2 linked regions of the Drosophila melanogaster genome follow. The protein of the gene in region 1 interacts with the protein of each later gene in a pairwise test. Each region holds a gene or a part of one and is shown on either strand. Other genes may lie near its edges.

Region 1 (3,540 bases):
TGCATAATAACAGATCGTAGGTTTATTCTTTTTTATACCAAACTTAAAATGTTCATTCTTTGGTAATTTAAGCTCCCTATGGAATAAGAGAGGCCACGGAAAAGGTGGAGAAAAAGGCTAGCGTAAAGGCCAACACTAGAAGTGACAGCATGGTGCATTACCCATCAACGTCGCACTATTCCTTGCAGAGTCTCTATGGGGATCTTCTCGAGTTCTCTGCGAGGCACCTAAAACTGGGAGGACGTCTTGTCTGCTGGATACCCTTTCACAGCGAGGACTACGACCCGAAGATGCTGCCACAGCATCAGCATCTGAGCCTGATAGCTAACTCTGAGCAGCAATTGACTGGGAATACAGCTAGGCGGCTACTCACCTATGAAAAGTGTTTCGAGTATAGTCCAACAGAACCCTTATTGTGCAGCATAAAACAGGTGCCAACGCCCTCGCAGGACTTCAGGGATCGGTACTTTAATAATGCTCTGGAGTCACGCAAAGAGCGTCGAATGCGGAAGGCAGAGCTGCGGGAACAGGCTCGTGTGGAGATGAATGCACGGGGAAAGATTCCTACGGATGGGCGCTCCAAAAAGTGTGACCTGAATAAAGCTCGATTTATGTGATCTCCATTGAAGTGTAATTTATAGTAAGATATAACTTCGATTCGGGCCAAATTTTTTGTTGGCTGTGTGTCGCTGAGTTTTCTTGTATGGCATACATTTCGAAGATTTTGATTCAGATTTGGACAAAAAAAAAAATAGATAAATACGATTGACAATGAGTCTATATATGTATATAGTTATAATGTTATTTTAATATTTTATGAAATACATAAATCTAGTTTACAAATTTCCATTTCGTAAAAGTTGAGATAACAGAAGGCCAGGAAATATGTATTGATGCATAATTTAAATTATAAATGTTGAAATAAACTTGGCGGTCCTTTATACATCATATGTATCCAAATAACCATATTATCCGATTTCAGCAGAACTTGCTGGTTTTTTGGCGTGTTCCTGAAGGCGGCATTCGAAAACTTTAGCGAAACTATTGAGGAGTGCGCCACTGGCCTCCTCGACAGGAAAATGTCTGTCCAGCTCTTTGCTGAGCGAGGTGACCCCCTTGCCTTCGATTCCGCAGGGCACAATGTGCTCAAACCACTGCAGATCCGTGCAGCAATTGAGGCCGATTCCATGCGTGGTGACGTAACGCGAGCCGTGGATACCGATGGCACAGATCTTGTTGTCACCCACCCAGATACCGGTGTCCTTGGTCGCCTTGGCACTGGAAATGCCCATCTGGTGGCAGGCCTCGACAACCATCCGCTCCAACGTCGCCACGTACCAGCGGATGCTCGGCACGAACTGACCCAGGTGCAGAATGGGATAGGCCACCAACTGGCCGGGGCCGTGAAATGTGATCAAGCCACCGCGATCTGTGCGATGGAAGTCTGCTCCTAGCCGGCGGAGTCGGTCTTCATCCTGCGCCGTATAGTCCTTTGTCCTTAGTCCGACTGTGTAGACCGGGTCGTGCTCCTGAAGCACCAGGTAGTTTCGGAACTCCGCTGGCGGATTCAGGATCTGGTTGGACCTTGCAAGACGTTGCTGTAGCTGTAATCCTGCTGAATAGCTATGCCGCCCGGCCCGCACCACGGTCACCAGCGGTCGGACAAAAGGCATTTTTTTAATTGTTTAAAAATCATTTGACTGCAACGTTTAAAACAACAAATATTAACCAGGGCTGCACGATCAGCGGGTTCATCAATATATGTATCTTCAAAAACGGCTGATTGGTGGCAATGGAAAAGTTGGCGAAATTTGTTTTTTTATTTGAGGAAACTTCGATTAATAATCCAACAGTTTAACAACAATTCGGAAAATACGTTGGAGGGAAATCTTTCGATAGGTTACTACCAGGGTTGGTCGAGGGCAGTTAGGAAAATGGAATTCCACCCATCTGGCAACACTACATTTGACGTTTGCAATAAAAAGATATAAAACTCTTACACACGGACGCTCTGCGAATTATTTAGAGTTTGGAGTGAAAAAGTGGGCTAGGGCCACAGAAAACCAACTACCTGTCACCTGCGATTGCAGCACATCCGTGACAGACTCGCTGCGGTGAATACATGGAGCACGCTTGAAATTCCAATAGGCGAGCGGAGCTGGTGCGCAAAAAGCATAGGCCCCATCGCAGGACATGGCGACTCGTCAGGACGACGAGATTGGAGGGGGCAGCACTGAGTCTGCACCCTTTCGCGTCCTGCCCCACACTGACGAAGTGGGCAACTACCTGGCCCACCAACAGCAGCAACAGCAACAGCAGCAGCATCAACATCAAACCCAAAACTATCTGATCCACCAGCAGCAGCATGGACAAGCACCTGTCCCGCTGATGTGGCCACCTCCACCACCGCACCTAGCCGGCCCCCCATTTGCGCCCCATCTTCAGCAGCAGCAGCCCCACATGTACAATGAGTATCTCTTCAATCTGTCCTACTCCGGTCAGCCAGGCCAGCCAGAGACCTACTCCGTGCTGCCTGTGGGACCCGGCAACTTTCTCAAAGTGTACCACTGCCCGGACAACCAGGTCAGCGAAGCCGGCACCCCACTCTTCACGCATATCAACATGGCCTCGATTAATCACCATCAGCTGCAGCACCAACACCAGGCCGCTCCGCCGACACCTTCGCAGCCGACTCCACTGTATGAACTGTTTGCCACAAATCCTTTGACTTTACCACATGCACAGCAGCAAGACGCCCAGCATCGACAGCCCCAACAGACGCAGACTCAGGCCCCAACAGTGTCCCAAGTCAATCACTCGTCGAGCAGTGCTAACCTTCTCATTAACAACCTTGTAAACAACTGGTCGCCCAATTTGACTGGTGGAAGCTACATTCAATTTGATGGCGAGGCCAACGAGATGGACGTCGTTCTCGAGACTTCGATAGCCCAACAGCCACAGGTTCCTAATCAGAACCTGCAGCAGCCTGAGCCACTGTCGCAATCCGTCAATACACTGCCAGCGGCTTCCAAGCCAGCCAAGTCTCTGAAAATGCCTTTGGCCACTGCCACCGTTTCACCAACTGCCATCAACAAGTCGAGCGTCGCCGTGCCTGGCCAACCCGAAGGCAAAAAGCGAATCGTGGCCGAGGTGAAGCCCATGCCCATGTCGTACTCCGATGTGCTCAGCAAAGGCACAAAACCGAGTGCTGCAGGGCGAGATATGCGCGCAGACAACGGTGGGGACTACAGTGTACAATCGCAGAGGCGTCCGGAAAAGGAGGATGCATATGGAAATCGCGAGATGCGGACGTCAAAACGTTCACCGCTGCACGATGCCAAGGAGACGGGTTCGTTTGTGCCCGGTGTTGGTCATGCGCATGCCAGCCGAGGCAAGAAGCGAAGTAAAGTCAGCCAGACCGCGCCGCTCAAGGTTCAACAGTCTCAGTCTCTAGCACAGCCAAATCTACAGCCGCAGATTAAATCAAACAAACTAAATAATCCGGAAAAGAAGCGGCCACTGCAACCGAAGAACGTAAAT
Region 2 (4,955 bases), on another chromosome or scaffold:
AGAGTATGCTGGAGTTAATGTTACGGTATGTATGTGGGACATTCCTTTTAATAAGAACACCAATGCCTTGTTTGGCTGAGGTGTTATAAGAAAAATTGTGGAAGTAACCACTATATTCTTTGGGGCAAATAAAATTTGTAGAATTACATGGAAGGTTGGTTTCCTGCAAAAATACAATATCGGGTGCATGGTCTTTTATGAGTAGTGTCAGTTCGTTGTAATTATTAAAAATGCCGTGGATGTTCCATTGTAATATAGTAATTGTCATGATTAAAAATTTTTTTTTTTTTATTTATTGTTTTTTGTTGGACTGTTATTAATTTGTGGTGTGTGTATATGAAGGTAAGGGTGAGAGGATCAGGACTAGGAATCGGGATCGTCCATAGTGTCTGAGTCTGTTGTGTTGATTTTTGTTTGTAGATTTGAGGTTTGTGAAGCAATTGATTCGTTTGAGTTGGATCTTGAGGTCATTAACGTATTGTTGTCGTCGTTGTAGGTTTGTCCTAATAGAGCGTTTGCTTCCGCCCTAAGGGAGCGAGATCGTTCGATGCATGTTTTTTTTAGGTAAGAGAAATCAGTTTTGTCAGAGGTGCTTGGGGAGGAAGTAAGATTCTCTTCGAGATTCAAAGAGTTCGTCCGAGAAGTGGGATACGTTGGTGAGAGCGGAGCTGGTACTTTTGTCGAGCTGGTGGGCAAGTCGGTGTTTGTAATCGTGTTAGGGTTTCGGGATTTTTTGACAAGCATCACGGATGATGTGCTTTGGTTTGCGACGGTCGAGTAGGTAAGCGTGGGGTTATTTGTTGTGTTTTGTTGTTGTTTTAGTATAGTGCGAGCTTCATGGAAACTGCATTTTTTGCTTGTTTTGATGTGGAGCAGTTGTTTTTGTGTTTGGTATTGTGGGCATTCGGGTGAGGAGGCTGGATGTTGGCCGGTGCAGTTTGCACAGAAAATGCGAGTGCATGGCACGGGAAGGTGGGGAGCGAGATTGCATGATACACAGGCAGGTGGGTTTTTGCAGTGCTTTGATGTGTGTCCTAATAATTGACAAGACTTACATCTCATCGGGTTGGGTATATATTCTGACACCTTAACTGTGTGCCAGGAAACCGTTAGTTTACTGGGAAGAGTGAAACGGTCGAACGTTACGAGAACTTTTCCAAAAGGTTTGGGGGTGCCGTCGATCATTTTGGTAAATTTAAATACGCTGTGTACATTTTGTGATTTTAGTTCCTCAACAATTTCGTTTTCTGGAATGTTAATAAGACAGGGAGCGTAAATGGTGCCTTTGACAAAGTTAAGAGTGTTGTGGAGCTTGCACTCGATATCGCATAAGCCAGGTAAAGAAGTCACTTTGATAAATTTGTCACTAATTTCCCTGGAGTTAACCAGCAAGAGAAGGTTACCATCCCGAAGATTAGAGATGGATGTAATGTCTTTGCTGATATACTTAAGGGCTCTATGGACAGCAAAGCAGTTGTAGTCGGATATGGTTTTCGGAGAGTTTTTTGATGAGACCACTAAATATCTCGGATTTTTGCACTGCGTTTCAGGGAGGTCTGGGAAATCAACTTGTAATTTTTGATAGGGTCTTTTTTTCTTAGCTTTGGGGCTAACGCTGAGACTGGCAAAGCGATTATCCCCCAAATTGAGTGGCCCGGGGGCCATGGTTAATAAATTTATGGATATTGAATGTTTTTGATTTGCACGTACGCGTTGATAAGAAGATCAAGAAGATAAGATGATAAATATCAATGTAACGGCGATGGTAATTACGCGATAAGCAAAGCTCACACAATTGGAAAGACACAGACGTCCGCACTCGAAGAGAGATAGTCGGTGACGTTGCAAATATACACCAGTACTTTAGCTACATTATTTTGGTGTAAAGACTTATGGACTTGGTAATCGTAGAAGTACTGTCGACATTTTTCTAACTATTTAATTTTGGCTATGCATCCTTGGATCCTTAAGATTATACCCGTTACTCGTAAAGTAAAAGGGTATACTAGCTTCGTTGAAAAGTATGTAACAAGCAGAAGGAAGCGTTTTCGACTATATATAGTATATATATATTCCTGATCAATAGCTGAGTCAAACTGGCCATGTTCATCTTACCAGGATGGTTTAGATTAGGCATACAGATTTAAGTTTGTTGATCCATATTGCAACGCCCACAGTCTTGCCAAGTTCTACCGGTATACCAAAAACACTTTGGCCACGCCCCTTCTCACACCTACAAAACGCCCAAAACGGTCACGCCCACACTTTTAAACAATTTTTAAATTTTTTCTTTTATTCTCCAATATCTATCGATACTTCAGAAATATGATGAAATTTCGTGTTCGCATTTCCACTAGTTGAGTAACGGGTATCTGATAGTCGGGGAACTCGAATTTAGCAACTTCTCTTGATTTTCATCTGTGTGGTGTTAATTAGTTTTTGTGTGAATTTTAATTACGACAGTTAAGCCTGAGAGCCTGAATAATGTTTCCATTTTGCTTTGTTGTTGTATACACGTGAAAAGTGTGATGCTTAGAATTAAGAGGAAACTCAAGTTTTACATACATACCTGAAAAGGTAAAAGACGGAAAAGGTGATAGATAAATTATAACAAATGGCCTTATGAGAAGGTCTTTTTACTTTAATAATAATTATTATAAAAAGTAGTTGTATTAGGAATTAGTCACCTAAAAAAGGTAGCATTGCAGACATCAGCCACATAATGTAATCTTTTTTCACATTTTGTTCAATATAACCTTTTAAACATCGTACACAAATCCCACCCAAATTATTTATTAATTAAAGCGATTCCAAAACATATATACTTTAGAAGAACAAGAGTTTCTGCCCCTTGCATTATGAATTTCGTCATAATAATAATAAGTATTAAAATTGTTATGCCCAAGTTATGCGGAGACACGTCCCAGTGAGAATGGGGAGAATTGGTCGAGGAACTTGAATTCCCTGAACAAATACGCGTACATAGCAAAGTAACCCCGTCATATCTCATCACTATAGTCAAAACATATTTTTCATCACCTCTCACCTGATCCACATTGTCCTCATCCGGCTCTTTGCAATCCTTCATGTCTGCTACTTTGCCCGGCTTCACATTTTGCGGAACAGCCCTTGAGTCCTTGACGTGGCTGATGGTCCTCTGTGGGTTAGGCTTACTGTCGACGCCCTTGATCTTGGAACGGCGATTGCGTACGCCACTCGAGGTTGTTGGGCTTTCAATCAGGACCGTGGAGCCAGGACTTGCCGGCGAGGTCCTACGCTTGGACGTCAAGGGCTTTGGAGTTTTGGACATTCGGGCGAATTTGTACTGAAGTAAGACTCAATGAAGCAGAGGGCGCCGCCTCGTAAAGAGCAATGAACTGCCCTTCCATTTACGTTAATACCCTACGCGTGTCCTTCTCTTGATAAGGTCCATAGAGTTACCCATCTCGGGACATAAGTAATCTAATTATCGGCCCACCGGGGTGGGAACCTTAAAGTGTCGCCATATGGAAAACACCTTCTTCTCTTCATTCTGCGTAAAGTTTGAACAGTAAGTACTGGGCAGCAAACCACTCTGGAGCTAAACTATTCCCAGAGCCAGATTTTAAATCGTTTATTTTCGACAAACCGAATCAAAATCAAATGGAAACTGCAACGAACAAGCGCTCTTTACGTATGGTAAAAAATTCAATTTAAAAAACACCTGTCAATTGACTCGATTTACGTAACTGGAGGGTGGTCACAAAGTCCTCAGTACAACAATCTAATATGCGCAGGATAAGTTATTTATTGAGCCTTGAGAGTCGCGGAGGGTGGATTGGGTGGATAATAGTTGGGCGCAATGGCCAGTCAGAGATATGCGGTCGTTGGCTGCAAAGCCGCAGGGCGTTGGGGCTTAAGACAACCAGAGGTATGACCATTAAGTTTCCCGTTTGTAAGTGACAAGCAATAATGGACTTGATTTAGGGGTTACCACACATGAGAAATTCATATGTGAGAGTAGTGTTGATTTATAGTGTTTTAAATTAAGAATCAGGCATCTTAAAGCTTATAATTATGTACTAGTATGAAATAAATAACACACCATAACCATAAACGTACGAAATAAATTGTTCTAGTAATTTCCAGTCTCTGTTTTAAAAAAAGAGAGAATGCTATAACGAATTCCCCGACTATCAGATACCCGTTACTCAGCTAGTCCAAGTGGGACCGAGAATTATCAACATTTTCAGGAATATCGGTATAAATTGGGGGAAAAAATTATTATTTGAATGCTCTAAGGTGTGAGTGGTTTAAAATATTAGGTAACTGCAAGGGTATATAAGCATCGGCTTGCCAAAGTTAGCTTCCCTTCTTGCCTTTATACGAAGCATTTTCAAAAAATAATTCCGCGACCGAGCCGACTTTGTTCTTGACCAATATATGTGTCCTAAAATGGTCAGGGGTTAAGCACCTGAACTGGGAGTTTCCCATAAAAATCTATTCACAACTAGCAGGGAGTTGGTTTCCAGGAAAAGTTTTAAATTCGAATTTGGAGGTGAAAGACAAAGCGAAATCATAAACAGGCATCTCTCCTTTCACGAAGTGCCAAATAAAAAGTTTTTCAATTTAGATTTATAAACCAACATAACGTAGGTAATTGCCGCACAAAGTTGCCTGGCGTGTTTAAATAAAAGTGAAGCGGGAGATGTAGCGCCCAGTCCTCTGCGCCTCGAAGGAAAAGTGCTTCCCGTGCTCGAGGATCCAAAACATTTCAGCGGAATTGCAGTGCATATAATTTTCGCTGTTGCGTTTTAAAGCAGCCGCTGCCTGATACACCAAGAGCAATGCCCGTCTTCATGGCAGTCTCTCTAACACAAAACTCCTAGCTAGATATTCTGATCGTGGCCAGCCAGCACCCCTTCCACACAGGACCTACCGAATTTGTATCTGTTGGGGCACTGAGTGCGGTTACC

What was found.
Region 2: the proteins of Lipt2 (region 1) and SPoCk interact in a two-hybrid assay, tested with the Drosophila melanogaster proteins (one large-scale study listed by BioGRID).

The regions. Positions count from the first base shown.
Region 1 is NT_033777.3:4,435,435-4,438,974, forward strand, and holds Lipt2 (Lipoyl(octanoyl) transferase 2), read right to left. Parts: upstream 1,896-3,540; 5' UTR 1,674-1,895; coding exon 969-1,673; 3' UTR 788-968; downstream 1-787. Other genes in the region: CG1074 (uncharacterized protein), read left to right, coding at 1-16, 73-617; CG14650 (uncharacterized protein), read left to right, coding at 2,194-3,540. UniProt on the Drosophila melanogaster protein: Catalyzes the transfer of endogenously produced octanoic acid from octanoyl-acyl-carrier-protein onto the lipoyl domains of lipoate-dependent enzymes. Lipoyl-ACP can also act as a substrate although octanoyl-ACP is likely to be the physiological substrate.
Region 2 is NT_037436.4:22,758,332-22,763,286, reverse strand, and holds the start of SPoCk (secretory pathway calcium atpase), read right to left. Parts: upstream 3,311-4,955; coding exon 3,047-3,310; intron 2,499-3,046; coding exon 2,478-2,498; intron 1-2,477.